Mus musculus: one gene and its partners. The protein of the gene in region 5 binds, or shares a complex with, the protein of the main gene of each other region. Links are inferred from orthologs where the notes say so. Each region holds a gene or a part of one and is shown on either strand. Other genes may lie near its edges. The genes, in order: Rbmx2, Lsm5, Srrm1, Ppih, Snrpd3, Prpf4 and Strap.

The links.
Region 1: Snrpd3 (region 5) and Rbmx2 share a complex: the UniProt entries of both Homo sapiens proteins name them as parts of the minor spliceosome. The link is inferred for Mus musculus from reciprocal best matches to the Homo sapiens genes SNRPD3 and RBMX2.
Region 2: Snrpd3 (region 5) and Lsm5 share a complex: the UniProt entries of both Homo sapiens proteins name them as parts of the U4/U6-U5 tri-snRNP complex. The link is inferred for Mus musculus from reciprocal best matches to the Homo sapiens genes SNRPD3 and LSM5.
Region 3: Snrpd3 (region 5) and Srrm1 share a complex: the UniProt entries of both Homo sapiens proteins name them as parts of the minor spliceosome. The link is inferred for Mus musculus from reciprocal best matches to the Homo sapiens genes SNRPD3 and SRRM1.
Region 4: Snrpd3 (region 5) and Ppih share a complex: the UniProt entries of both Homo sapiens proteins name them as parts of the U4/U6-U5 tri-snRNP complex. The link is inferred for Mus musculus from reciprocal best matches to the Homo sapiens genes SNRPD3 and PPIH.
Region 6: Snrpd3 (region 5) and Prpf4 share a complex: the UniProt entries of both Homo sapiens proteins name them as parts of the U4/U6-U5 tri-snRNP complex. The link is inferred for Mus musculus from reciprocal best matches to the Homo sapiens genes SNRPD3 and PRPF4.
Region 7: Snrpd3 (region 5) and Strap share a complex: the UniProt entries of both Homo sapiens proteins name them as parts of the SMN-Sm complex. The link is inferred for Mus musculus from reciprocal best matches to the Homo sapiens genes SNRPD3 and STRAP.

Annotation. Positions count from the first base shown.
Region 1 is NC_000086.7:48,693,537-48,697,803, reverse strand, and holds the start of Rbmx2 (RNA-binding motif protein, X-linked 2), read right to left. Parts: upstream 2,801-4,267; 5' UTR 2,689-2,800; coding exon 2,684-2,688; intron 2,485-2,683; coding exon 2,369-2,484; intron 404-2,368; coding exon 352-403; intron 1-351. UniProt on the Homo sapiens protein: Involved in pre-mRNA splicing as component of the activated spliceosome. As a component of the minor spliceosome, involved in the splicing of U12-type introns in pre-mRNAs.
Region 2 is NC_000072.6:56,701,900-56,705,956, reverse strand, and holds the start of Lsm5 (U6 snRNA-associated Sm-like protein LSm5), read left to right. Parts: upstream 1-1,257; 5' UTR 1,258-1,288; coding exon 1,289-1,334; intron 1,335-2,547; coding exon 2,548-2,643; intron 2,644-2,923; coding exon 2,924-2,951; intron 2,952-3,788; coding exon 3,789-3,861; intron 3,862-4,057. UniProt on the Homo sapiens protein: Plays a role in pre-mRNA splicing as component of the U4/U6-U5 tri-snRNP complex that is involved in spliceosome assembly, and as component of the precatalytic spliceosome (spliceosome B complex).
Region 3 is NC_000070.6:135,325,647-135,329,146, forward strand, and holds part of Srrm1 (serine/arginine repetitive matrix protein 1), read right to left. Parts: intron 3,400-3,500; coding exon 3,358-3,399; intron 1,578-3,357; coding exon 1,446-1,577; intron 1-1,445. UniProt on the Homo sapiens protein: Part of pre- and post-splicing multiprotein mRNP complexes. As a component of the minor spliceosome, involved in the splicing of U12-type introns in pre-mRNAs. Involved in numerous pre-mRNA processing events.
Region 4 is NC_000070.6:119,317,724-119,321,753, reverse strand, and holds the start of Ppih (peptidyl-prolyl cis-trans isomerase H), read left to right. Parts: upstream 1-1,230; 5' UTR 1,231-1,279; coding exon 1,280-1,345; intron 1,346-1,520; coding exon 1,521-1,585; intron 1,586-1,900; coding exon 1,901-1,924; intron 1,925-2,189; coding exon 2,190-2,234; intron 2,235-3,167; coding exon 3,168-3,210; intron 3,211-4,030. UniProt on the Homo sapiens protein: PPIase that catalyzes the cis-trans isomerization of proline imidic peptide bonds in oligopeptides and may therefore assist protein folding. Participates in pre-mRNA splicing.
Region 5 is NC_000076.6:75,516,752-75,520,841, reverse strand, and holds the start of Snrpd3 (small nuclear ribonucleoprotein Sm D3), read right to left. Parts: upstream 2,801-4,090; 5' UTR 2,717-2,800; intron 1,529-2,716; 5' UTR 1,508-1,528; coding exon 1,382-1,507; intron 1-1,381. Other genes in the region: protein GUCD1, read left to right, coding at 3,646-3,688. UniProt on the Homo sapiens protein: Plays a role in pre-mRNA splicing as a core component of the spliceosomal U1, U2, U4 and U5 small nuclear ribonucleoproteins (snRNPs), the building blocks of the spliceosome.
Region 6 is NC_000070.6:62,407,344-62,411,582, forward strand, and holds the start of Prpf4 (U4/U6 small nuclear ribonucleoprotein Prp4), read left to right. Parts: upstream 1-1,439; 5' UTR 1,440-1,531; coding exon 1,532-1,558; intron 1,559-2,231; coding exon 2,232-2,409; intron 2,410-4,239. UniProt on the Homo sapiens protein: Plays a role in pre-mRNA splicing as component of the U4/U6-U5 tri-snRNP complex that is involved in spliceosome assembly, and as component of the precatalytic spliceosome (spliceosome B complex).
Region 7 is NC_000072.6:137,741,582-137,745,081, reverse strand, and holds part of Strap (serine-threonine kinase receptor-associated protein), read right to left. Parts: intron 3,131-3,500; coding exon 2,993-3,130; intron 1-2,992. UniProt on the Homo sapiens protein: The SMN complex catalyzes the assembly of small nuclear ribonucleoproteins (snRNPs), the building blocks of the spliceosome, and thereby plays an important role in the splicing of cellular pre-mRNAs.

The DNA of each region.
Region 1 (4,267 bases), on a different chromosome or scaffold from region 5:
GACAGACTCTCAAACGATCTCAGCTCTGGGATCTCCCATGGGGTAACTCTCTGGGACTGATCTAGGGTCTAGCCTTCCCCATGGAGGGATGTCATTAGACATCCCTAGAATTAAAATAGCTTTGGTGGCTTTTTGACGCAGGATCTCACTTAGTTGTGCAGGCTGACCTGGAATGCATTATGGAGCCTAGGCAGACCCCAAGTGATCCTCCTATCTCAGGCACTTGTCTAGTGGCATTAGAGGTGTACAACTCCACACCCAGCTTGAAATGCTTTGTTGCTGTTACAAAAATACACTATGGAAGCAAACTGTTCCATGCATCCAGGAGATAGGAACTAACAGAGGACTTACTGTGAGAACACACAGATGATGTCGCCTTCTGTCAATTCATAAGGAAGCCCTCCTGGAAGAAAACACACATTCTCCAGTTTAACAAGCATTAATCAAGCATTCACTGCATGCTATGCACTAGGCCAGACACTGGAGGTGCAGATTAAACAAGCCTTGATCTGGAAATTATCAGCCTAATACAATGACAGAGTGGGTACGATGACAGTTGTCTGGAAGAAAAGTCATTAGCTCTCAGATCCCTTTGAGTTCGAGGCAAGCCTGGTCTACACAGTGAGTTTCAGAGCGAAACTGTGCCTCAAAAAGAAAAAAAGAAAAAGAAAAAAACTAATTAACTCTGAGGGGAAAGGCTAGGGTCATAAATTACCAAATTAATCTTATCATTGAGTCTTCATACCCAAAGTCCTATAAAGCACATGATTTCCAGCACAAGACTCAGATTTCATAAACACTGACTTCAATACACTGTTACTGCCCCCCACGTGCAAACTAGGATGTATCAAGGAAAGTGCTAAGCGGTTCACAGGAAGCCTTTCACATGTTCCTCAATGTTCTCCTTCATATGCAAAAAGGGGACGTTAACATATTTGCCTCACAGGAGTATTATGGAAATAAACTAAAATGAGGCATATAAAGTGCTTAACACAATCCCTTCAAAAGGCAAACTGCGGGATTTTGGTTGTGACATAAAGAGAATACACGAAAGGTAATATTGTCCCCAGAGACTCAAGAGTTCCCCTTTTACAAAGGCTCTCAGTCTCTAATCTTGGTAAAATAATTCTAAAACAGACTAAAGGGCAAGCTTGAGGTCCATTGTGTTAGCATTTGAGGGAGAGCTGATAGGGAGGCAAGGTGTAAGATTCGCCAGCTACCGGGAGGAGGAGGGAGGAGGGAGCTACAGAAGGGTTGGCAGCCATGCCTTCAGAATTAGGAGGTGGAGCAAGCAGGAGTGCACAAAAATGGGGACAGAGCAGTAGCCGCAAAGGGACAGGAAAACATTTAGATGTGAGATGAGAAAGCCCAGCGTGTTAGGGGCAAGCAGGCTCAGGATTTCCGCCAGCACCCAGAGAACAGAAAGAAAGGGAGAGGTGGGGCTCAGCGAGGCCTCAGAGCAGCAGGTAGACTTAGGGCGGACATCAGCACCACCTGCACTGGGGATCATTTCCCTCCCGTGTCCCTAGCGTGTCTGGCGGTGACTGAGCTTTCCTGACAGGTGTCTACTGGCCAGATGACTTAAAGCTCTGTTGGATTATGTCTGAAGGAAGGGGCACACTAGTATGTAACATGTAGGTTTCCTGAAAATGTCCTGGTATCTACCCAGGGCCAGGGGTGTACTCCAGACTCTATTCTTTTCATCAGAAGTAGCTTTCCCTGATCCTGTCACATTTTCAGGTGGCCTTTCAAATGTTCAGCCGGAGTAAAGCTAATTTTGAATCAAGCCTTAATGTCTTCAAATCCAGCTAATGTCTGACCAGGTACATCACGGTACAGCTAAGGACTAGGAGCAGAAGCCCAGGAGAGGAGAAAAATCATTGTGAGGAAGGGCAGACACACACACGATCGGTATGTGACCGTGACGAAGAGCACAAGCCCCACAGTTTTGAAGTGCTGCAGCATGTGACCTTAAGCAAGTCCAGTAACCTGTCTGCGCCTCCGTTTCTTTGACATCGTGATAGGTTGACTGTGGAATGAACTGTCTCTGAGCAGCCAAGTAGCAAGGTTTTGAATAGAATGAAAGGCAAATACCAATTCTAAGAAGCGCTGAAGGCAACTGAAAAGTGGACCTGTGAGCAGAGGAGCTTCCAGAGTGTGAGGTGATGAGCTTGTTCAGAAGCGATGACCAGGGGCACTAAATAACCGGGGGAGGGGGCATAGGGAGGAGAGGGGAAGGGGTGGAGAGAGGAGAGGAGAGGGATGAGGAGGGGAGGGGAGGGGAGAGGGATGGAGAGGGATGGGGAGGGGAGGGGAAGGGACGGGGCGGACTCTGAAAGGCACTGCTGGAGAAAAATGGGGACCTCACCAACAAAGATCCAGGCGCTGTGCTTGTATTCCGAGTGCCAAGACACCTTTTCCGCCACTCCAAGTTGAACCTCTCGCTCATTCAGTTCATTGATCAGCTTCACCTTAGTCAGAGGGCTGCGCGGGTGGCAGGCAAGCCGGTAAGTGCGATAAGTACTTTTCCTCCCAGCCCGCCCTCTCCCTACCGAGCTTCTCCCGCCCGGAGGCCCGGAGGGCGAGGACCGGTCCCCGCCCTTTCTGGGCGGCCATCCTCAAGCCACTCTCCCTTCCGCGGAGAACACTCCCGCCCCTATCCGCAGAGAAACAGAATCCTTACTTCATATTCGCATCTTCGCGCGGCTCGCTTCAGACGACAACAGCTTCCGGGTGAGGCTCCAAAGCGCTCCCGCGACCCGAACACCCAGCTCAGATTGGAGCACGGGGCCCGCGAGGCGGAACTTCCGCCGGAAGTTCCGGCCCGCTAAGCCCTGGCGCCTGCGCAGTAAGGTGAAGGTGCTTTCTCAGGCATTCGCTCCTGTGGAGGGACAGTTCCCAAGTCAGTCCCCGCCCCCTTTTTGATGGAGAGCGATGGGGGGACCCTGTGTTCCTCTGCCAGTCGGAATTAAATGCCCACGTATAAACAAGCAGGCAAAAATTAGCATTGTCAAACTAGTACCTATCAACTAAAGAGTTAGAGAACTTAAAGGTTGTGAATGAGAGACAATTTATGCACGTTATCTCTGTTAGATCTCAAACCCCAGGCTAAGGCTCACACCATTGGCTCCTCCCAGCACTCCTCACCCTGCCCCTACCCTAAACCTCTGCCTCCCAGGGGGCGGCTCACTTTCTGCCATTTGCATTTTTCATTCAATCTCTTGTTTGTTTCCTTGTGTAGCCTTAGCTGTCTTGGAACTCGCTCTGTAGACCAGGCTGACCGCCCAACAACCCCATGAAATACAGTTACCATCCCCATTTTACAGAGGAAAAAAACTGAGCTTCAAAAAAATTAGCTTGAAGGTCTAGAGAGGTGGCTCAGTGGTTAAGACCATTTGCTGATTTTTTTCCAGAGAACCTGCACCCAAAACAGGTGGCTCACAACTCCAACTTCAGAAGATCCTCCTCTGGCCTCTGTGGGCACTTGCACTCACATAATTTCTGTCTTCTTCAGATAGAAATTCAGTTTTTCCAGCATATTTCTTAAGTAGGTTATTTTTTTCCCAATATATGTTTTTGCTTCCTTTGTCAAAAATTAAATAGGAATAGCTTTGGCATTTTATTCTGGATTCTCTTATTCTATTTCATTGATATTAATGTCTACTTTTATAGCAATACCAGGCTGTCCTTATGACTATAGGTCTATAGTAAAATTTGAGGTCAGGTCCTATAATGCTATCAGCATTGTTCTTATTCCTTGGGATTTCTTTTCTACCTATTGTCTTTTGTAGTTCCATATCAATTCTTGTGTTATTTTTCTAAACCTGTGAAATACATCAGAATTTTGAAAGGTGTTGCATGAAATCTGCAAATTAATTTTGGAAGTATACCCATTTTCACAATATTTATTCTACCAATTCAGAAGCATGGAACTCTCTTTTTCCCCCTGAGACGTGGTCTCACTATAGAGCTTGTGACTCTCCTGGCATTCACTTTGTAGAGCGGGCTGGCCTGAAATTCACAGAGATCCACCTGTCTCTGCCTCCCAAATGTTGTGGTTAGAGGCAGTATGGAACTCTTAAGGTAAGAGACAACATGTAATATTCTCTTTTGAGGCTGATCAGAATATTACGTCTCCATCATTAGGGCCAGAGGTAGAACTCAGAATCCATTCTTTTAACAAGAGGAAGTAACTTTCTCTTAATGAGCTTTAACAAGGCTCTGATACCTCCACCTTTACATATGGCATTCTAAACCTTAAAGAAAG
Region 2 (4,057 bases), on a different chromosome or scaffold from region 5:
GCTGTCAAGTGTGTTTGTAATTGCCTTGGGACCTAGTAGATCTGTAAGACTTATAGATTGGGCGTGGAGGAAAAAAAGCCACCACTGGCTTGGAATTGAGAATGGAGCTGAGTTTTCATTGCTTTCCATATTAAATCCCATAGTGCTGTGCACATGAAATGTACTATTTGTCCTCCTTCCCACTCTCTTGGTTGAAGACTTTTCTGAACATTGTTTTATGTATCCAGCAAGCTGCTAGTCAAACAATATTCCACTGATATGTTTTTTCAATGGAGGAATGAAGGGTGCTCATCTCTCATATTTAGGCTGTTTGGTTTTAAGTCTGTCACATGAGATGGACAAAGGCAAAGTATTTATCTGCTTTAACAACAACAACAACAACAACAACAACAACAAAACAAGCACGTAAACGAACAAACAAAAAACACTAGGGCCCAAACTCCGGGCCTCATGAATGCTAGGAAAGTACCCTATAGCCAAGCTACCAGCTAGCCCTTGTTAGTTTTAATTTCTTATTTTGTGTCGGGGTCTAAGAGGGCCATGCCTGCAACAGATGCCTCCTTTTGTCTCTCAAGTGTTGGGTTTACTGGCCACTCCACGTTAAAAGGGGGCTTTTTAATCTTTTCCAATGCAGAAGTGTGATAGCAAGGTTTCCAAACATGATGGAGTCAACATACAGAGTGACATCTTACGGTTGCCTGCAAATTGAAAACTGATAGTGACTTTAATGCCTGTAATAAACCAGACACCTAGAAACGACAAGAAGAAATTAAATAATAGTAGAAGTTTTTTGTTTGTTTGTTTGTTTGTTTGTTTTTTCTAAAAAAAAAAAAGCTTGTGAAAAATGCTGCTTTATAGACTTTCAGTCCTCTGGCCTTAAAAGTACCAGATTCCTTAAAAAAAAAAAAATGAGTAGTTGTTGAGGAGCATGCAGAACGAGTTTATAGTAGGAAATATAAATTGATTTTATTGCTCTGAAGAAAGATACAGGCTTGAAATGCAACCTTCTAGAGGAAAATTAACCGACTCAGAGATCTCGTATGCTGGTCTTCCGGCGGCAAATTATCTCTGAAGTTTAGCAAAACTTGGGGGTACCATAGGTGCCTGTTGGGTTGGTGGCAGGGATAGAGATCCGAACCTCTCTATCGAATCTGTCTGCGATCCATTGGGATCCTCTGGATCTCAAGATCGGCTTTGGATTAGTCTTGTCTGAACCAGCTGTGGAAAAGGGCGGAAGCGCGCAATTTTAAAGTCTGCGCCGGTGTCCTTAGCCACTTCCGGCGTGGCCATGGCGGCTAACGCGACCACGAACCCGTCCCAACTCCTGCCACTAGGTAAAAGTCTTGTTTGGGGAGCGGTCGGGTTGCTGCAATTCCACGCTGGGGGCCGAGGCTGGGCCACCGCCCCTCCGGGCCCGGCTGTCCGGTCCTTGGCGTCACTGGGCAGACAGACAGACCGTTTTGCCTGTCGGTGGTCGGTGAGGGTCCCACTTAGTGAAGGACGTGCTCGGCCTTTTTGAGCTCGCCAGTAAGATGTCATGAGTCGCGCAGTCCCAGTTCTCAGCTTGGCCTTCTTGGTCTCCAGATCAGGTAGACCCTGTATTGGCTTGGGTAAGGAGTGCGCCACGGCATACAATGAATCTTACAATAGAAATCTGGAAACTAGCCCCGTCGTTCATTAATTCAACAAGCAATTCCCGCGCAGTGCCAGAGAACTGTTGAATAATGAACTTGAATTACAGCCATTGCTTTCAAGATCGCACACCGGCACGCATCGTGCTGAGCAATTCTAAGATGCTGAGATGAACAGGTTGGCCCAGGAGCACAGAGAGTTAAGGTTAAGTGAGAGAAGGAGTGACGGGAAAGCCGGTGTCTGTAATAATGCTTCTCCCTTGTCATGTTTTGGGGCTGGTGAGCTTAGTGAATGTGTCTGTGATTGAAAGTTTTTGCAGTGTTAGATATTGTTTATCGGTACAAACACTGATGAAGAAAAACAGTTATGGTCTCCACCCACCTCATGGTGTGTGTTTTCATACATTAATCAAATAATCTAAATAAAAATCACAGTCCTATTAATTGCAAATAAAGAGTTAAGTGAAAGCTAAGGCAAACATTTGTGCTAACGATTAAACAGAGATTTGTGTAAGATGTAAAATTACCGAATGGTTCCAGATACATATGTAGGAGAGTATGGCCTTTTTTGACATCATTGGGAGGGGAGGCTCTTGATCCTGTGGAGTTTGATGCCACAGCATAAGGAGAATGCTGGAGTGGGTGGGTGGGTGGGGGAGCACCCTCATAGAAGCAATTGGGGAGTGGGGAGAAGGTAGATATGGGAGGGGTGTTGTGGAGGGGTAACCAGGAAGGGGGAATATCATTTGAGATGTAAACAGATGGAATGATTAATAAAAGTAAGTAAATAAATAAATAAATAGCAAAAAACTGAATGTTTTTGCTTATCTTTAATGATAAAAAATAATAAGTGAAGTAGGCATTCAAATGTTGGTCGATCTAATAAGTAGGTAAAATTACCCTTTTCCTTCCACAGAGCTTGTGGACAAATGTATAGGGTCAAGAATTCACATTGTGATGAAGAGTGATAAAGAAATTGTCGGGACACTTCTAGGATTTGATGACTTTGTCAGTATCCTTTTTAAAAGCGGGAATGGTGTAGGTTTCTAAAGATGTATTAATATAAGAAAGAACTATAGACAACCGAAGAATTTCTGGTTATTACATTAAGAATAATTTTGTTTTCCAGGAACTTGGTAGTATTTTAAGAGGTGTGTTTGCTGACAGTTGATAGGGCTCTTGCCAACAACAAACCTTTTGAATTTGCACTATCATAGTGTTGAACATATTTTAAACCAAACAAAAACATATACCTGAATAAACCTTATTTATTTTCTTAACATTAAATTCAGATATGGTGTTGGAAGATGTCACAGAATTGTGAGTAGTATTTAAAAAATTAAAAAAATTTGAGAGGAGGGGAGGAAATCTCTTTTTAATTAAAGATGGTGCCTTGATTACTTTTTTCTATTAATGTGAAGAGACAGCATGACAAAGGTATCTTATGGAAGAATGCGTTTAACTGGGGGCTTGCTTACAGTTTCAGATGGTTAGAGTCCCTGACTGTCCTAGCTAAGAGCTTATATGTTAGATAATAACCAAGAGAGAGAGAGAGAGAGAGAGAGAGAGAGAGAGAGAGAAGTAAATAGAGAACGCGAGCGCACTAAGTGGGTATAATTTAGGTTTTTGGAATCTCAAAGCCTAACAGGGTGATACACCTCCTCCAAAAAAGGCCACACCTCCTAATCATTTCCAGTTTGCCAACAGAGGACCAAGTGGAGGCCATTCTCCTTTAAACCTCCATAGCAGCTTTAGTATGATCGATATAAAAAAAATTACTTGTTGGAAAATACCTTAATACTGAAACGTTATTTACTGGTGTTTGTGAGGTCCAGTTAAAGGATTATTATCTTCATATTATTCCTGAATTTGTAAGAAATTAGTGTGAACAAGCTTTATGGTGAATTATATTTACATGAGTATTATCCAATGGGCAGTTTGTATTCTGTATATATTTACTGTAATTATATGCGTTCACATTGAATCATGTGTAAGAATAACAGCTTTGTCACTAGGGATTGAACCCAGGGCCTTGTGTGTGTGCTCTGCCACCAAGCTATTCTCCTTACCCCAGTAGGACTTTTAGGGAGGGAAAGTGTTTCTAATACTGCCTTTGATTACTTGTTTATCCAGACTCCATTTAATCTATCTTTTTAGTGAAATTACACCAGAAGGAAGAAGAATTACAAAATTAGATCAAATTCTACTAAATGGAAATAATATAACAATGGTAAGACATTAAAACTTTTCTCTGGAAATTATTTTACTTTTGTAGTGTAGGGATTATGGAACTGACTTAAACTTCTATTTCGTTGGCAATGTTCATGGCACTGAGATAGACACACTGAGGATGGGAAGGGAGCCTTGGTGATCTGTGCCTCAGGGCAGCTGTTGAAAGTGCTTTGGTCCTTGTCTTAGTCAGGGTT
Region 3 (3,500 bases), on a different chromosome or scaffold from region 5:
GCTGTCTTCAGACACACCAGATGAGGGCATCAGATTTCATTACAGATGGTAACCCAGAGCCATCTCTCCAGCCCCTTGGTCACTTAGTTTTATGGCAAGCACTTTCACCCACTGAGCCATCTTGCTAGCCAATCCAGAATCAAGAAAATTAATTGAATAAAAAGAAGTAACTAGTCGGGCTGGAGAGATGGCTCAGCAGTTAAGAGCACTGACTGCTTTTCTGAAGGTCTTGAGTTCAAATCCCAGCAACCACATGGTGGCTCACAACCATCTGTAATGAGATGCCCTCTTCCAGTGTGTGTGAAGACAGCTACTCTGTACTTACATATAAAAAAAAAAAATCTTTAAAAAAAAAAAAAAGAAGTAACTAGTCATAACTATCCTGTAGCTAGTACTCTGTCAGGAGATATTTCAAAGCAATACACATACCTCCATGACTGACAAGAGGATACTGTGTTGTGTTTAATGGAGAAAGTTGAAATTCTCAGAAACAATTTAAATTCATCAAACCAAGAGAATTTACATAATTATATAAAACAAAGTACTGTTTCATAAGAGAACCTCACATGTGTTGTGCAACTGTGAGCATCAGCTGTTGCCAGGCAGTCTTTACTGTGTTCTCTGTGACAGGAGCTGGAGAGAGGGCTCATATCCCCCCACCTCCTCCCACCCCACCCCCCAGTGTATCAGTTGACCTGGAACTTAATACAATTTAGGCTGGTTCCAAACCAGTGTTGATCTTCTGCCTCTACCTCCTAAGAGCTGGGATTACACACAGCCCATGACTGACATTTCTGAAGAGTTCTAACCTCTCCCTTCATGGAATCCCCTTTTGACTGGGACTGCTAGCACTTGCAGTCTAGGGTCCTACATGATTGGCAGGAGCATCACCAAAGCTTTCACAGTGCGCAAAATGCCAACAGGTTAGTGCAGCAGCTAACGTGCACAACATGGTAGCTTCAGAACTCCTGTGGCTGTGCAGCCACTGATAGTTCTCACTTCCCGCACCCTAGATATCCATCTGTTTACTTCTCCCATTTGTTTGCTGGGCAGGGTTTAGTTTCTCTATAACCCAGGCTGACCTCCAACTCAAAATGTCCCTGGCCCAGCCTTTCAGGAGTATAGATTCTGAGCAGAATACCCTTGGCTCCTATTTCCTTTTCTGTCTTTGTTTTTTTGTTGCTCTGTGTAGCCCTGGCTGTCCTGGAACTCCATCTGTAGACCAGGGTGGACCTGAATTCAAAGATCTGACTGCCTCTGCCTTCTGAGTCCTGGGATTACAAGTTAGCATCACCAGTGCCCTGTTCTAAGTTCTGTTTCCACATAGTTCTGTGTCCCATAAAGGAGCTCACATTTATGTGACCTTTTACAACCTAAGATGCCTCTTACAAAGCAACTTCCATGATAAAGACCCAGAGCTACCATGAGTCACCTGGACACAGTACCTTCGTCGTGGTGGTGGGGTGGGAGATCTGCGCCGCCGAGGAGGAGGAGGGGGAGGTGGCGGCGGAGGGGCTGGAGAAGGAGACCTTCGCCTTCTGGCAGGAGGGGGAGAGGGACTTCTCCTCCTTCTACTACTAAATAAGAAAGCAGAGTTCTCCTCAGTCAGTGACATTTATAACTAAGCCCCCCTAGGAAGTATATTTCCAGTGGTTAACTAACCCAGAGCAGAAACATTGTTTATGTTTTGCTTTTGGTATGAATTAAAGACAGCTTTGTGATATTAGCTTCAGACAAAAACACTCATTTGTTTGACATAAATCACCCAACAGAGGAAGAGAAAAAATTCAAAAACGGTCATTAGAACACTTATTTTTTAGTTGGGACACACATAATAATCAGTTGGAAAACTTATCTGAAGCTTATATGAACCATGTCAGGGCTAACAGCCAATGTTAATAGACACCAAATAACTTAAGGCCCCAATCTGGAAGCCCTGGCTTAGAGCTGCCCCTCCTCCGCAGCAGAGACAGAGGGCAGACAGAGGGACTGCACACACTGAGTGAATGCTCTATCTCGGAGTCTATCTCCAACCTTTACGGTCTTATCTAAGAAATATATACCCGGGCTGAAGAGATGGCTCAGTGGTTAAGAGCACCGACTGCTCTTCCGGAGGCCCTGAGTTCAAATCCCAGCAACCACATGGTGGCTCACAACCATCTGTAATGATAACTGAATCTCTTCTGGGGTGTCTGAAGACAGCTACGGTGTACTTACATATAATAAATAAATAAATCTTAAAAAAAAGAAGAAATATATACCCACCACTGAAAAGGGACCATGTGTCTTACCTACCAATACCCTAAAGACAAACAACAAAGCTATCTTAAATACTAGAGCTGCCCTGGGGGTAGTGTGGTTAAAAGTATATTCAAGAACCAAACACTCCCCAACTCAGAGTCTGTAATAAACCTGTAACACAAGCCATATACCAAGCGTCATACATTAACAAGCTAGAAGCAACCTTACAAAAGACTTCAAGTTAAGCCTGTCTGTAGCCCTTGACACACGGAGAGAGAAGTCAGTGTAAATAATCCTTAGCTCCTGGCCCAGCCAGGGCTGACACTGTGGACCTGGCTCAGTTTTTAAGGTTTATCAGGTCTCGACTCTTCAGAATTCACTACCACATTGAATTTCCAACCAGATTTGGTTTAGGTTTGCTGGTGATATGTGATTAGTACTTCATAGTAACACTTTACATACTCAAAATTATACTTCATTTTATCCTCCTTACTATATGACACTGAGCCAGGTGATCACGGCACACACCTTTAAGCCCAGAGCCCGCAAGTCAGAGGTAGGTGGATCTCTGTGTCTGAGACCAGCCTGATCTACACAGCAATTCCTAGGACAGCCAGGGCTACCCACAAAAACCCTCTCTCAAAACCAAGAAATTCAACAAGTGGGAGTAGAGGGAGAAAGCCAGAGCTAATAAGATGAGCTCAGCAGATAAAGGCCCTTGCCACCGAGCCTGAAGAACTGAATGAGTTCGACTCCCAGGACCCACTTGTTGAACACAGGGATCCAGTTCCTACAAGTGTCCTCTGACCTCCAACAGACTGTGGCATGTGTGTATTCACACATATATATCCATGACAAATAAAAATACAATGAAGACTTTAAAAAAGTCACTCCCTACAGAGTCTAGAATTATCAGATTAGGAAAGGCTCTACAGTCATCTCCTCACACAGCTCTTTGTATCATTAATCTGACATGGTAAAAACAAAAACACACACCAAAGCAACTTAAGACTTTCTCAGCTGTCATGTGTCTGTAAAATGGGGACAGTCACCTTAACAGAAAACTAAGTACACTTGGTATGTAACCCTCATTTGCAAAAACAGTATCTAACCAACCTTTTAGTCACTGGTGACTGCCATCGCTTTCCCATCTGCATCCTGAGAGCAGTGGAGAAAAACAAATGTCAAGAATTCCACTCATGAAAGTTAAATCCTTCTTGCGGAAGCATTTTTTAAAGCCTCAAGATGCCTGGAATTAT
Region 4 (4,030 bases), on a different chromosome or scaffold from region 5:
ACCAGGGCTGGAGAGATGGCTCAGTGGGTAAGAGCACTGACTGCTCTTCCGAAGGTCCTGAGATCAAATCCCAGCAACCACGCCCTCTTCTGGGGTGTCTGAAGACAAGTATAGTGTACTTACATATAAGTATCTTTGGGCCGGAGCAAGCATGAGAGAAGGAAAAGAGGGGGGGGGGGTAGCAACTGAATGCCCTCCAAAACAGAGGCAGAAGGGTACTTGGTAAAAGTGGTATAAGAGAAGCCAGCCTTTACTTCCTGGTCTTTGCTACCAGCAGTGGCAAACAGCATTTTAAATAGGCAAAGCCCCATACGATTTACTAGCCTAGAGACCCATCCCATGGGCAAACAACAATCCCTGAGACTGTTGTGCTTGCAGACAGGAACCTCGCATGGCTGTCCTGAGAGACTCCACCCAGGAGCTGACTCAGGGATGCAGAGACCACAGCCAAACATCCGATGGAGCTTGAGGACTCCTGAGGGCCTCCGAGGGGATTGGAACTCCACAGGAAAACCAAGAGTCAACTATGACCCTTGGGGCTCTCAGAGACTGAACCACCAACCAAAGAGCATAGACAGGCGGGACCTAGCCCCCTCCCACACACACACGGTCTTTCATGTGGGTCCCGAACAACTGGAGTAGGGGCTATCCCAAAAGCTGTTGCCCTGCTGTGGAATTCGTTTCTTCTGCTTGTCTGGACTCAGTGGGAGAGGATGAGGCCAGCCCTGCAGAGACTTGATGTGCTAAGGTGGAGGGAAAACCAGAGGGGGTCTCTACCCTCTCAGAGGAGAAGAGAAGGAGGGGGTGGGGAAACCGGGAGAGGCGGCAGCACTGGGGATGTAAATGTGAATTAAAAAATAAAAAATTTTACAATCATAAGAAAATAAATAAAATTACATTTCCAGCACCCGACTGAGCCAGGCTACAGTAACAAACCATTTTAAAATATGGAAGGTGACTCAGGGATCCTCGGCTCATGAGCTGTGACAGGGGACACCAAGTGTGACTGCTCAGGACATGCTGTCTGCAGAAGATTCATTTCTATTGCACTAATACAGTCATGCAAGTGGGGAGCCCACAGACTTTGACAAAGATGCCTGCGTTTCCTCCCCTCAGCTCCGACCAGCTCAGCCAAACAGTACCATTCCCAACAACCTCAGCGCGCGCCACACTTCCGGGGCGGGGCGCAATCGCGGTCCGTTTCCACTGCGTCTGCGCTCCGGATGAAGTTCGCGGGACCTGCCACCGGAAGCCGGGTTTCTACTTCCGGGTCAAAGCCATGGCGGTGGCAAATTCAAGTCCAGTCAATCCAGTGGTCTTCTTCGATGTCAGCATTGGCGGCCAGGTGAGGTGCGGGCGACCTAGCGGCCCGTGCGGGCTGGTTGGCCTCGGGTAAGGGAGGCAGCCCCTTATAGCCCTCCCGAGACCGGCTGGGCCAGGCGGCGGAGGGAGGTGGGAGCTTTCGAGCTTCGTGGACAGCGGTCGTGAGCTGAGTGTTGCGTCTCCCGTTTCTTCTGCAGGAAGTTGGTCGCATGAAAATCGAGCTCTTTGCAGACGTGGTGCCTAAGACGGCAGAGAACTTTAGGTAAGGATATGCTCCAAGTGAACCAGAGCTGAGCCCGAAGCCGGCCTCCAGTCGGTCTTTGCCATGTCTGCCTCTGTCCATCTATTCATTGCCTTGCAGCTCTGTGGTCTGGGTATTTCACTGGCCAAACAGCTACCGGCTGTGACTGATCCCATATCAACTTCTATCACTAGTCTACCTGCCCTGACATCCGCCCGATCAGTTAGTTGGCGGACATACTGGCCCCAGTGTTTGAACTCTCCTCTCCAGAGATTAGAGGTGCTTCAAGCAGTGATCGTACGAAGGCTAAATCGTTTGCTCTCTCTTTCCCTTTAGGCAATTCTGCACCGGAGAGTTCAGGTCAGTCTCAGATGTGTTTGATTTCTCTGCCTACTCCTGAAGGGGTGCCCTGGATGTTTGGTGAGGGTATTGGAGAACCATGAACAGGTCTTAAGTAATGGAAGATGATATGCAGAGAGAGGGTGACACCTTGAATGGGTTCTTTCTCTCTCTTTTTCCCCCTCCAGATCTTAGTGAGAGCCCTTTTAGCCTCTGGTGTAGCCTAAATGGGAAAGGCCCACCATTGTGTTTCCCCATTCCAAGTCTCTTCCTTCTTTGTTTACAGAAAAGATGGCGTTCCGATAGGATACAAAGGAAGCACCTTCCACAGGTAAGGGAGGTTTTTGGAAAACTGGAAATGCAGTCATTGCTTGGTATCTGTACAGGCAGTCCTGCACACCTGAGTTCAAACTCTGTGAGGCTTACGGCTGTTGTTTTAAATGGCATGTTCGCGGCTGAGGCTGTAGCTCGGTGGTAGAGAATTGGCCCAGCATTCATAAGGCCCTGGATTTGGTACTGAACACCATGAAGCCTATGCACAGCGCCTTAAGTCATCCCTGACTTGGTGGAATGCTGTATTGCAGAAACGATGCCAAGGAAAGCATGCTGTACCCTTTCAGTACCTGTTCAGTACAGGTGCGTGGCCACGTGCTCCCAGAGGTCTAAGCTCAGATCCTTAGGCTGCCACAGCAAGCACTTCACCCACTGACCCATCTCCCTGGCGCCAGTCAGGACTTCAGCAGAGGCTTTGCTAGTTACCGTTGCTAGGCAGTCATCTGTAGGAGCCTGGCTTTCATGATATATTTACTTATTTTTTGTTAGAGTTTGACAGAAGTTGCTCTATTCTAATCCTGAAAATGTCCATGTCTCCCACATAAGGGCTTTAAAGCTACAGTCTGTAACCCTCCCTAGCATTCTTGTGAAGTAGTATGTGTTTTCCGAGTTCTTCAAGGAAGGCTAAGCAAAGCGAAGGGCCATAGCTGGTGTACTAGCTAACACCATCAAGTCTCTGTGTGTGCAGTAGTCCATTCACCTAGATTTGCTGTTGTTCTTTTCCCCCAAATTGCAATAAGCCCTGGACATGATTTTTTCCTTTGGTGACTGTTGGTGATTCTAGCCTGGTTTCAGCCCCTTCCTGATGTTCAGGTGCGAACTCACGCATCTAAGATCAACTGAGTTAAGACTGTACTTGCTCGCCCTTTTCTAAGCTTCAGTGATTAATCCACTGAATCTTTTCTCAGGATTTTTTTTTTAACTGTTTCAGGGTCATAAAGGATTTCATGATTCAGGGTGGAGATTTTGTTAATGTAAGTACTGCTTCTTTTCTTTGTTATTTTTTTCTGGCAGGGCCCTAGTCTTGAGACTTAAGAGCAATAGCTAAGTTAAGTGGAGAGGGCATGGGATGTACTGTAGAGTTGCTGGCTACCACTGACTGTGTCCTTAGAACACATAACAATACTCTACTGAACCATAAACTTCCACTTTCCAAACCCTAGCTGTTTGTAACTAGAAACTGGGCTTTGCTGGCATACCTATAGGTGATCTGAGACGGTCCACATTCATTGTTCACAGAAAACTTTGAAATTGACTGCAATTTTTCCCTCAAAAGGAAGGGAGCTGACTGCTTTTGTCTCCCATTTTTCCTTCCACATCTGCACATCTTCTGTCACTGTCTAAAAACTCTAGTTTTTTGTTGGATTGCTCTGGGGGGGGTTAGGGGCCGGTCTTTCTTTCTCTTTTCCTTTTGAAAGCTAAGGTATTAATCACAAGCTGGTTAGCAAGCAAGGGATCAGATCAGGAGAGACAGGAAGTTTAAAGGGTGTTCGCTTGCTTGCTGAGGTAGCCCAGCAGATCCATTCTTCACAAAAAGACCATGACTGTTGGTGTCTCCATCCTTCCTTGGAGTGTGTCCAATAAGCTAGAATATCTCTTTCTTAAACCAGCTCTTTCCTTACCCATCCACCTCTGTGCATGCTGTCTCCTTGCTGTTAGCATTGTTTATGTGGGTGTGTTACTAAGTCCTTTTGTCTGAGAGATGGTCTTACTCCATCAGTTGTAAATTTAGTTAGATTTTTGTGAGTCTTTAGAGGTCTTCCTCCTACACAGGGTTGCAATGGCAGGCTTTAG
Region 5 (4,090 bases):
TCAGGAGACAACAGGTTGGCACCCTCCAGCTGCCACTCTGGGGGACCTGCCAGGGCATTCACGCTGCGACAGCCCTTCCAGCAGGCTGCCAGGGACTGACCACAGCAGAAACATCAGAGCCAGTCCATTACTGGCTCCAGTTACTCCTCTTACTTGGGTGAAACTTCCTCAGCACCATGTTGTAGCCTGAGGCTCCTTTTGCTCACTCTGCCTTCCTTTCCTGGACTGAAGACCCTCCTGCTACGATGATTAATATTACCGACTTGATGGATTTAGAATTACTGAAGGGACAGGCGTGTCTGCGAGGGATTGTCTAGGTTAGGTGGAGGTGAAAAGTAGAAACTGGGCTAAGTCCTGGCACTCATCTCTGCTTCCTGACTGCAGATTCAATGTGACTAGTTAGTACCCTCCTCAAGTTCTTGCCACCATGACTTCTTCTGCATCAGACTGTCTCATCACACTGTGAGTCGAAATAAACTCCCCCTTCCTTAAGTTGCTTTGGTCAGGAATTTGATCACAGCAACAAGCAAAGTAACCAATCACTTCCGCAATCCTGCTCGGTCACTGGCGTCCTTCACGCCACCTCCCCAAAGTCTCTGGTGTATCTAATTCTGGGTTGGCATTTACAGCACAGAGGATCCAAAACAACTCCATCCTCATTTTATTCAGGGGAGAACAAGTGACCAGGATACCCAAGGTCCTATCATTATGGCCCAACTCAATTTGGAATCAGGGAATTCTCTGATTCCAAAGCTCAAGTTCTTAATTAATGGGGAAAACCCCCAAACCATATGCCAAAACTTTGGCAGTTTTATCAGATGAAACTTTCTCCAAGACAAAAGTAAGCACACACAATACGTGAGTAGAAGATCCTGCAAATTATACACTGTGCTGGGAAGCAGACACTGGCTCTGAACCTGACCGACTCTGAGACAGAAAAGTGAAACTTAACTGGTTGTTTTATAGACAAGTACTTAGCAACTGTATTTGGCTAAAGGCTACCTGACAGTAAATATAGACCTAACCCCAGAGAAATCTAGGAAAAGAGATTGTGCTTTCAATTCAGCATTCTGACTCCCTACCAAAAGCAGTGTGGTCTTGCTATAAAGCCCAGACTGGCCTTGAACTCGAGAATCTACCTCAGCCTCTCAAGTGCTCGGATACACACGTACAACCACAGGCTGTCAAATGACTTTTCTGCCTCAAGGCTAAGTCTATACTGACATAAAATCTTAGAGCCTGTAAGAGTGCTTGACAGGTAATAAGTACTTAGTTAATAACTGTTTGATGAGAATAACTTCATTAAGACCTCCAAGTACACCGCTCTACCCACAGGATAGAAGCCACAGCCCTTTCCCAGCCCTGGTGCCAAGCAGGATACCTGACAGTTCATGTTGTCCTCTGCTTCAATGAGCTTCCCTCGGTATACTTCCCCGGTGTTGGTCTCACACGTCACTATGTGGCCTTCAGCCTCGTGCAAGACTTTAATCGGCACACCAATAGACATCTTGGCAGGACTCTTCCCGGGCTACAGGGAAAGAGAGACGATGGTCATCTTTCAGAGCTTAAGGACTGGCACGCCATGGGCTTTGTAAATGATGTCAAGAGCTGCGTTTCCTGTGGAAGGAGTGTGGCTCTTGGCCTCAAGGAACCACCACAGCAAATTAGCGCAACACGTAGGGTAGGGAAGGATGGTAAGCTGGACAATGAAAAGTAATGGGAACAAAGAGTACTACCCCCATTCTCATCCCAGCCATATGACCCTTTATAGTCACTAAAAGGGCTATGATATAGACCCGGAGTGTAAACAAATCACTGTTTACATGGAGTTAAATAAAATGCAAATAAAAGCAAACTCAGTCTTTCAGTCACACCAGAAATATCCCAAGTAGTCAGCCACCACATTTGGATAAAGGCTACAGAACCTAATAGTACATATAGACCTGAGCCCCAAGGAAGCTAGGAAAAAGAGCTTGCGCTTTTCAATCCAGCGTTTTGAATCCCCACCAAAAAGCAGACCAAAACTGTCAAGGCTACGGTGCTATAAATAGGAAATGTTCATCAAGCAGAGAAATAGGGTAAACGCTCGACTTTAAGTCTCACTACAAGACAAAGACTATGCACAGGGCTTTTAAAATGCTGAGATTGGAAACGACTCAAAACCGGAGCACACCATTTATTTGCATGAGAAGACTGTAAGGATGCTAAACACAGTCTCTCTCTCTCGGTGAGGAACCACGGCTTTCAACTTTAGGAGTGTGGGTTTCCATGCTGAAAATGGTAGGGAAACACTGCAGGATGATAGCCAAAGGTTCAAAAAAAAAAGAGTAGCATCTACAAAGTGGATCGAACATATAGCACGGCAACTTGATTAAACTTCTGCAGCAGCGTGGAAAAGAGGGCCACTGCAGGAATGGGAGTGGAGGCAGGGATGAAAGGGACGTTGTAAATGATGATCCAAAAGGAAAGGAGGTAATTAGCAAGAAATGACTGCCCGTAAGCTTCGGAAATCGGTGACCTGAGAAGGCACCGAACGTGCAGACTAGGCGTAAATTAATAACTGTTCAAGGGTTCGGGAGATGAGCTTTGGATAGGCCCTGGCTTCCCGCCCTCCGCTAAGCAAGCCCCGCTGAGCTCCTCCGCAGCGGCCCTTCCAGCTCCTAAACCCCCTGGGGAAGCCCTGGCCTCCTCTCTCCCGTTAGCCGCCTCTCCTCACCAATTAACTGCAGGCTTTATTTTTTTTCCGGTTCTGGCACAAACGTTAGAAGGCGAAGGCGAGAGAACGACCGGCCCGACTCTCACGAATACCACGCGCTCCCAGAATGCCTTGCGCAGGCCCCTCCCTTTCCTTTAAGCCTACTTGCCCTTCACTCTCACTTAGCCGGCTGGGGAAACCAGGGCTCTAGCACAATAGTTCCGGCACCGGAGAGGGCCCGGGGGACCGCCGGAAACACCAATCCTGGAGCCCAACAAGGGAACATGGTAACCCTGAGTACTGTAGTGGCGGATTGGGCGGGATCTGGGCTTGAGCCCAGTGCTCTGGGGAGACAGGAAGTGAGGCTTGGACTAGAGATTTAAGCTTTGGATCCGGCCACCGGCAGGTAAGGGACGCACTGAGCCCTGGGAACTCTCATTATTCCTTGTCTGGGTAAGAAGACCTAAAAGGAGTCGGGAAAGTGTTCCCTGGAGTCTCGATAAGGCACTGCGGAGAACCAGAGCTTCCATCTGAGGCTGCAGAAGAACAGACCTAGCGGAGGGAGAGCGTGGGGAGCCCACGTCGCTAGGGGAAGGGCTTTGGGGGCGGGGCTCGGGGAGGGGCGGGGCTCGGGGAGGGGGAGGGGCCCCCGGAGCGTTTCAGGGAAGGACCTACGGGTAGCGGGTTCTGGAAGGAGAAGTGGGGGTGGAAGGGAAGAGGCGTGGCTTATGGAAGGGGCGGGTTTCCAGCGCCCAGACCTGGAAGGGATTAGGCGTGGCTTGAGGCGGCCTAGCCACCGCCTACCCGGCTCTGAACCGCGGTGGCGGCGGCGGCGGCGGAGGCGGAGGAGGAGGAACTCTGCGCTCACTGGCCGCGCTCGCTGCCCAGCAGAAGTCGCCGCTGCAATCAGCTCCAGGCCGGGGCCATGGGCGCCCTGCGCCATCCGGGTCATGAGGACGGAGGCAGAGGCAGCGGGGCAGCCGCTCGAGCCCGGTCAGTGCCTCTCTTCAGGGCCTTGCCTTCAACCGGGGGAACGGAGGGGGACTCCGCCCTAGAGCCGGGCAGGGTCTGGCCGCGCGCGACCTTGGGTCGTCTGCGGCCTCAGCCCAGCCTGGAGCTTCTAGTGGGTCCTAGCTAGGTGGATATTCCTTCTCATCTCCTGTCCTCCACTTAGGGTCGTTCCTGAGTCTCCTGGGGCTTGAAGCCCAGGGAGTGCTGAGAGCCGTCAAGTGGAAAAGTCCAAGGGGCAAAAAGGCACAACCTTGTCCAGAATCGAATAGCCCTGCTTGAAGCACGTTGGGTGATCCTATTCCCCGGGGAACTGTGGAAAGCCTGAGGCCGAGAAAGAGGGGGAAAGAATGGCTTGAGAGCTCTCAGCAAAGGGGCGGGAAAGAG
Region 6 (4,239 bases), on a different chromosome or scaffold from region 5:
AAGATCTGGCGCCCTCTTCTGGAGTGTCTGAAGACAGCTAGTGTACTTACATATAATAAATAATTTAAAAAAAAAAAAAAAAACAAAGTTACACTTAGACCACTAAAATAAAAAGCTAAATGATAGTGATCTACATGAAAGTTTTGCTATAGTGTGCATTCATAGAAATTATTATTGCGTGCATCCAGAACGAAACAAAACACTACAATGTATAGGAAACATTTACACTTCTCTCAGGAGGCTTAGCACAGCAAGGGGTGATCTAATCAAAACACTGGCCCGTGACATTTCAAAACTGCTTTATTCTATCAGATACTACTTTCTACCAGATCCTTACGTAGAGAAATGGAAGTCAGCTCCAAGGGGGAAAGGAAGAAACACTTAGAAAAACAACAACAACAACAATAATTCCCTACTTGCGAGGGAACTTTCTGAAAGCCTCACCACTAGAGAGCAATAATGAGTACGAGTTAAAAGCGCGGCTCGGCGGCTCGCGACCTGCCACGTTACTAATTCTACTACTACGGCTCCAGAACGACCTTTTCTCACCAGAATGTTTTTTGGTTTTTTTCGGGCTTGTACTCTTGTCCGTGACTGAGATGACTAAAACAGAATAAGCTCGTTGCGCGTAACTCGGCATTAGTAAGTCCTCGAAAAGGAAGTGCTCTTCTAATTGGAGTTGTTCGGGGCAGGGCCTTGAGTGTGGAAGTGAGTCTGTTCAGCTCGGCAAACGCGCATATTTTTGTAACCCCCACAACTTTCATGTAAGGATTTTTTTTTTAAAAAAAACCTTATCTCTGATGGCCTAACATTCATTGGAGCTACTACTGCTGATATGCTCTTTATCTGGAGCCTTCATGGACCCTTTATTTCAAAGAACACAGACAAAGAATAGGCTGTAGACAAGTAAACCCACAACAAACTAGGCCGCAGCTCCTCCACCACATCTCTATTTTAGCCTTAGAAGGTCTTAGAGTTTAATATCTTCTTGAAGCCCAAACTGATTACGTAGCCACCGAGTTACGAGGGGCCCCCGAAGGACTTCCGTCGTGGACAACAGTCCTCTTTCCCAGCTCCAAGGCTGCAGAAGTCTAGGGAGAGATTTCCATGGCAACACAGGCCTCAGCTTCGAAATGGCGGAAGGCCTCCCGAAGGATAACAGAGACCCTCGTTTTGTTCCAGATTATGGTTGCGATCCGCAAACCTACCTCTTTTCAGGCCTCTGCAGTTCCCCAGAACCTCAACTCCCACCATGACTCCATTGCTGCGCAGCCCAAACTACACCTCCCAGGCTGCTCTGCGCCTCTCTTCCCATGCTCCTCTTCTCCCGCGAGGTTGTGTAGCTCTGTAAGGCCACGCCCCTCGACTCCAGCCGACCTTTGGCAACTACCATTCCCAAGATACTTCGCACGTAGTACGTTTCTGATACGTTTCCGGCCAGTGACGCACTTCCACTTTGCTAGGCGCGCGGTTCCCGGTCTGAAAAGTAGAACGCGGATTTGGCTAGGGCCTCGCGTCTCCGCCGCCCGGCATGGCCTCCTCACGAGCCTCCTCCACGGTACGGAGCTCTGGATCTAAGCTCAGGCCTGCCCTAGAGAGGCCGGGGGTTCCCGTGGGAAAGGGCCGTTACCTTACGGGTCTGGGCCGAGGAGGAGGAAAGCTGAGGGACCCTAGTGTGGACCTTAGTAGCCTTTTCCTGATGTCTTCGTGTGCTGCAGCTCTCTTTGCACTGCTCTTACTTAAGTCCTGAGCAGAGACCACTCTTTCTGGCTGCTCCAAAACACGGTGCTTTGGAATCGGGTTGTGTCCTGACTTAAGCTGTCCGACTCGTACTTACTATGATGAGGCTTCCCAACTTGTAATCGGCTCTGAAAGTATTTGAAATGTGTATTCCAGTCACATCGTGACTTGGTGCACCTAGAGCCACCCTGATTGTTTAGGTTGTTTTTAGTGTCTGCCCAGCAGTGAGAAGTTATTTTCGTAAAACCGGAGATTGCTTTTCCAGTCGATTAAAGTAACGGGCCCCAAAACAACCAAGACACTTCAGGCAGAAATTGATTGGTCGTATTTGTGTGCCAAACTTAACAAGAGCCTTAACTCGCACAAAGTCAGTTTCGACTTTCTCCTCTAGTTTTGAGAGGAAAGAAGATGAAAGTGCAGCGTTAGCTTCATTCTTTTGGGAAGCATGGTTTGCTGGAACTAAACCTTAGTCCGGGTCTTTGATTTAACAGACAACCAAAACCAAAGCGCCTGACGATTTAGTTGCTCCCGTTGTGAAGAAACCACACATCTACTATGGAAGCTTGGAAGAGAAAGAGCGGGAACGCCTGGCCAAAGGAGAGTCTGGGATTTTGGGAAAAGAAGGACTCAAAGCCGGCATTGAAGCAGGAAATATTAATATAACATCCGGTAAGATGCAAATTGCAGGTCATTACCCCCACACACACACCCTTTTTTAAACAGTGCTGGGAATCCAACCCGGGTTTTTTTTTTTTTTTTTTTGCATGCTAGGCAACTGTTCTGCCACTGAGCCATACATTTCCATCTCCCCCCACCCCCCACAGTCTCTTACCTTTGACCTCAAACTCCTCCTGCCTCCTTCCTGGTCGCCACCATGTACTTTTGATGATTCAATATTCTGATGAACACCTTCCCAAACCACATAGTATTAGGTTTATAGGCCAAAACCTTCTATTGGTCTGGGGAGCTAGTTCAGGTGCCAAAAGCTTTTCTCTGTGACCATTAGGACCTGAGACTGAGCCCCAGAACCCATGTTTTTTTACTGGCTTGTTTTTCCTTTTTCTAAAAAAAAAAAAAAAAAAAGTCAATGTGGTGGTACCTACTTAGAATGAAATGTTGGGAAGACATACTTGCAAACGCGTGCAACCTTACCCTTCTGTTTTCACCTTTGAGCCTGTGACTTTACCTGCTTGACATCATCCAGTGAGTGGATTTCTTGTATTCTCTACAGTTCCTTGCAGGAATGACTCGTGGTCTCTGTAGACTTCTTGAGTGGATTTGTCTTTGGGAGATGTAACCTAGTTCTGGCATTGGTTTATAACTGTTTATAGAATTCTTTCCTTTACTTTTCTAGGGTTTTTCTTTGTGTTTTCCTTTTTGTTTCTGTTTTTCAAGACAGGGTTTCTCAGTGTAGCCATGGGCCAAGCTGGCTGGCCTCCAACTCAGAGGTTCTCCTGCCCCTGTCTCCAGAGTGCTGAGAATAAAAGCATAAAAAAGAATAAAAACCACTACCTGCCTAGTTTAACTTAGTTATTATAAGTATTTAAATGTGCACACTTTTTCCCTGTACACATATACTATTCTTAAATGTCTTCAAGCCTGTCTCACTGGGGGTTAGGAGGGGCGAGGGGTTGTGGGTTTTAAAACTAATCGCCATAGTATCCAAAAAGACTTACCTTGTTGTCAGAGGAATCCTGTTTTTCCTGGTCATTATTTCCTCTCACTGTGTGTGAATGCTCTCCTGGGGGTACTGTTTTAGCAGGTAGGAGTTGGGCTTTCCAAATAAGAAATGTTCTAAGCTATAGAAAGAGATAGTGAAATAAATGGAAGAGGTGGCCTGGCCCTCCTGCCCTCAGTTTAAAGCATCACTTGGGTTTATGTGTTTGCTATCATTTAATAAGCTGAGAATTGAAAATGGTAAGCTATAAAAAGTAAGATAGATTAGATACAGTTCTTGCATATGCTTACAACTTTTCAGCTCTTAAAGACCAAAACAAATTTCAGTATTAATAAGATGGACATACTTGTTTATTGATAGAGAATTAAATGTTAACTGAAATTTTAATATTGTAAGTCAGGGCATTTTGAATATTTTTCATAATACTTTGATTCTTTCTTTCTTTCTTTTTTTTTTTTTTAGTTAGCAACTCAGATATTGTGCTGAACTTAACAGGCATACACTGAGCTTCTCCCCATCGTCCAAACAGCAATTCTAAATAAACAAATATTTTAACACGGTATAGTCCAAAGATAAAACTATTTGATATTTGATGCTGAGGAAATTAAATGTTTTCCTTATAACTTTGTACAGTGAAGACATTGCAATTCATCAGATGTAATGGCCTCTGAGCCACTTTGCGTGTGGTGTTCCTTAGTGTCATATGGCATGGCAGACAATAAGTACATTACAGAATTGCACATGCTCAGCACCAAGGCTGCAGCAAAGATACATGGTGCAGCCCAGCAGGGACCCTTCGATATTGCTGAAGTCTCTGTGAG
Region 7 (3,500 bases), on a different chromosome or scaffold from region 5:
ATGAATTCAGTTTTCTTAAAACATAGAATTGTTCTTGGAATGTGTTGCTGTTGACCTCCCAGGTGCAGTGGATAGCGATGTCTTTACTTCAGATTATTCATTACTGCTTGTTGCTATTATGCAATTACATGTTTAACTATCCGTGTGACTCTACAGTTTGAACTCAAAGATAACTTTACTCACATGACCTTTGTCCTCAGAGTTTATAAACTGTCTGATGGTCTGAATAAAGTTGGCGACTGCATGAAACTTTAGTCCACCTCCTTTATCAGCTCCGTTCTCCCAAGTCCCACCCACTCAGAGCAGTGACAATGCCAGATTATTTTTCTTTTGAAAATTTCACTCTATTTTTTCTACAAACATGCATTATTTTAGTAAATACAAAAGGGTCATGCAGGCCAAGCAGTGGCCTATGTCTGCATACCAGCACTCAAGAGGCTAAGGAAAGAGAACTCAGGGCCCCCTTAAAAAATCAAAAAGTCAGGGACAGGCATTTGCCTAGCATATAAAGGCCAGTTTGAAGGCTCAACGCTGAAAAAAGTAAATAAAAGCATCAAGCTAGAGTGATATTTTACAGTAGGAATTACTACAGTACAGAGGGATGCTAAATGTTTTTATAACTGTTCAGGGTTCGGCTGGGGCTCAGGCTTTCAGTCCCCAACACATGAAACTGCTATCAGCAGCTGTTTTTAACTAGGGAGTGAAGGCCATGTGTGGTTTGAGTAAGAATGAAGTCTGCAGCCTTTTGCATGGTTCCCAGTTAGACTATTCTGAGAAGGATTAGGATGGGTAAGGGAGGTGTGTCACTGGGTGGAGGGGGAGGCTGAGGTTAAGAGCCCATGGCAGATCCAGTCTGGTTAGCTCTGTCCATCTCTTGCTTGTGGATCAGATATAAGCTCTCAGCTACTGCTTCCATGCCATACCTGCCTGGCTCCTGCTATGATGGCCATGGACTTATGCTCTGAAAATCTAAGCAAGTCCCCCAAAGCACCCAGTTAAATGTTTCCTTTTATCAGTCGCCGTGGTCCTGGCATCTCTTCACAGCAATAACTGAGATTAATCAATCGCATTATAATGAAGCTGTATTTTTCAGTGCACTTACTTACTCCCCCTACCCCGGGGGGGAGGGGGGGAAATCAACTAGTTTCCTTACCAGCCCTTCTCAGTTCAATCCTGAAAATTACTTCAACACAGACCATCAATCAGCACATAGCACATACACAGAGTCAGGCATGGTAGCATAAAACTAACTTTAACCCAGCACTCAGGAGGCAGAAACAGGTAAATCTGAGTTCGAGGTCAGCCTGGTCTACACAGAATTTCACGACAGCCAAGGATACACGGAGAGACCCTGTCTTGGGGGGTGGGGGAAACACACACAAAAACTCTAACGTTAGCTGTGCTGAATGTAGCATTACAGATCAGCCCCCGTGTTTCAAATACTCAACAGGCCAGTTACTACCAAATGAGATCTGAGGCAAGAGTCTACAGCAGGAATGCATGGTCCAGAAATGAGCAGCTACACACAGCTACAAAAATGAGCAGTTACATGTTTTAGAACGTGTTTGTTTCCTATTCAATGAAGCTGAACACTGAAGTATTCTTTAGACCACATCATAAGACTCCTGTCAGAGGAGAATGTGGTCTAATCCTTACAGAAACCCTCTAAGCACCAAGGCTAAGAACTGCACAGTCAGTCCTACAGTTGAACTCAGGATCCCAGTACTGAGAACAAAGATGTACCACAATCGGTTACAGTGCTCAGGGCACTGAGACAAAACCTCTTCCAATTTAAGGCACCATAACCAATAAAAATGTTTTAAAGGTATTTGAATGGATAAAAACATTTTTAATTAAAAAACAGCCAAGATTATGCATCATAGTGCTAATAATTAAAAGAAAAAAACCAAAGTGTGCACAGGCGCACACACGCACAATGAATGGGTTTGCGTCACTTTCCTCACTGTGTTTAGTTCCTAGGGATTCAAACCCAGGCTCTCAATCCATGCTAAACAAACACTCTCACTGAGCTGTAGCCCCAGGCCTTGTCTCTTTAAAATTTTAATTAGAAAATAGAAAAGGGGGGGGGGGGCTGCAGAGCTGGCTCAGCAGTTCAGAGCACTGACTGTTCTTCCAGAGGTCCAGAGTTCAATTCCCAGCAACCACATGGTGGCTCACAACCATCAGTGATGGGATCCGATGCTCTCTTCTGGTGTGTCTGAAAATAGCTAGTGTACTCATATAAATAAAATAAATAAATAAATCTTTTTAAAAAATAGAAAACAATTATCACAGTGATTTCTACCTAGTAAGAAACATACAACATCATGCCAATGGTTCCTTTGATAAAAACAGAATATAAAATATGCTAATAAAATTATCAGAATTTCAGCTACCTAGGATATGTATTAGCATACTTTATATTCTGTTTATATCAAAGGAACCACTGCCATGATGTTGAATATTCCTTACTATGTAGAAATAAATATCACAGGTAGCTGAAATTTCACTAATTCCTGATTACAGACTGCTCAACCTAAGAGAGTTGTTAAGAGGTGTGGGACCACGTCTGTCTGTCTGAGTTACACAGCACAGGTAAGAATCTGCCTTTAAAAGAATCACGAAACATTTTGGTACAAGCCTTCCAATTTTTTTTCAAGATTACTTTATCTGTATGTATATGTGTGTATACACACACACACACACACGCACACGCACACATACATATATGCGTGTGTGTGTGTGTGTGTGTGTGTGTGTGTGTGTGTGTGTGTGTGTGTGTGTGTGTGTGTACATGGGGATGCCTGTGGAGGCCACTGGAAACCAAGGCTGGAGTTCCAGTCACTGTGAGCACCTGATGGAGGTGAGACCTGACCTTCTCCCTAAGAGGCACAATCACTGTTAATCAACAGCTGAGCCAGCTCTCCAACCCCTGATTTTTAAAGTCTCTTTCCAACAGAAATAAATGAAGAAATGTCCTGGACAGACATACCTTACTGCACTATGAAAAGCAATAGATCGTCCATAAGTAATAACCAAAATCTCTCCTTCAGGAATATACTCCATGCTGCTAACAGACATATTAAAATTCAGAGATTTCACTTCTGTCATTGTGGCATGATCCCAGAGCCTGCAAATGAATAAGCAAATGAATGAGCACATAAGTAAATTATTTATTCAAGTAGCCAGAAAAAAAGTCTTTTATCTATACATAAAACAATCACAATTGTAATGAAGCAATTTTCATTACAAATTAATAGGAACTGTGAGTTTCTATGAAATATAAAACCTGTGTTAGGCTGTGGATAACTTTATATTTTCCCAACGCCTTAACAACACTACCTGGTTCTAGCTTAACTAATCTGAACTGTTGCTTGGGTCTATCTCGAAGCTATGCATCTTTTCACAAAATACATCAGCTCTTAACTTACAAAGGTTAGAGGCATCAAGAATCCCCTCAGGCAATCCGCCCTTAACCACACTGGGAACAGCTACATAGC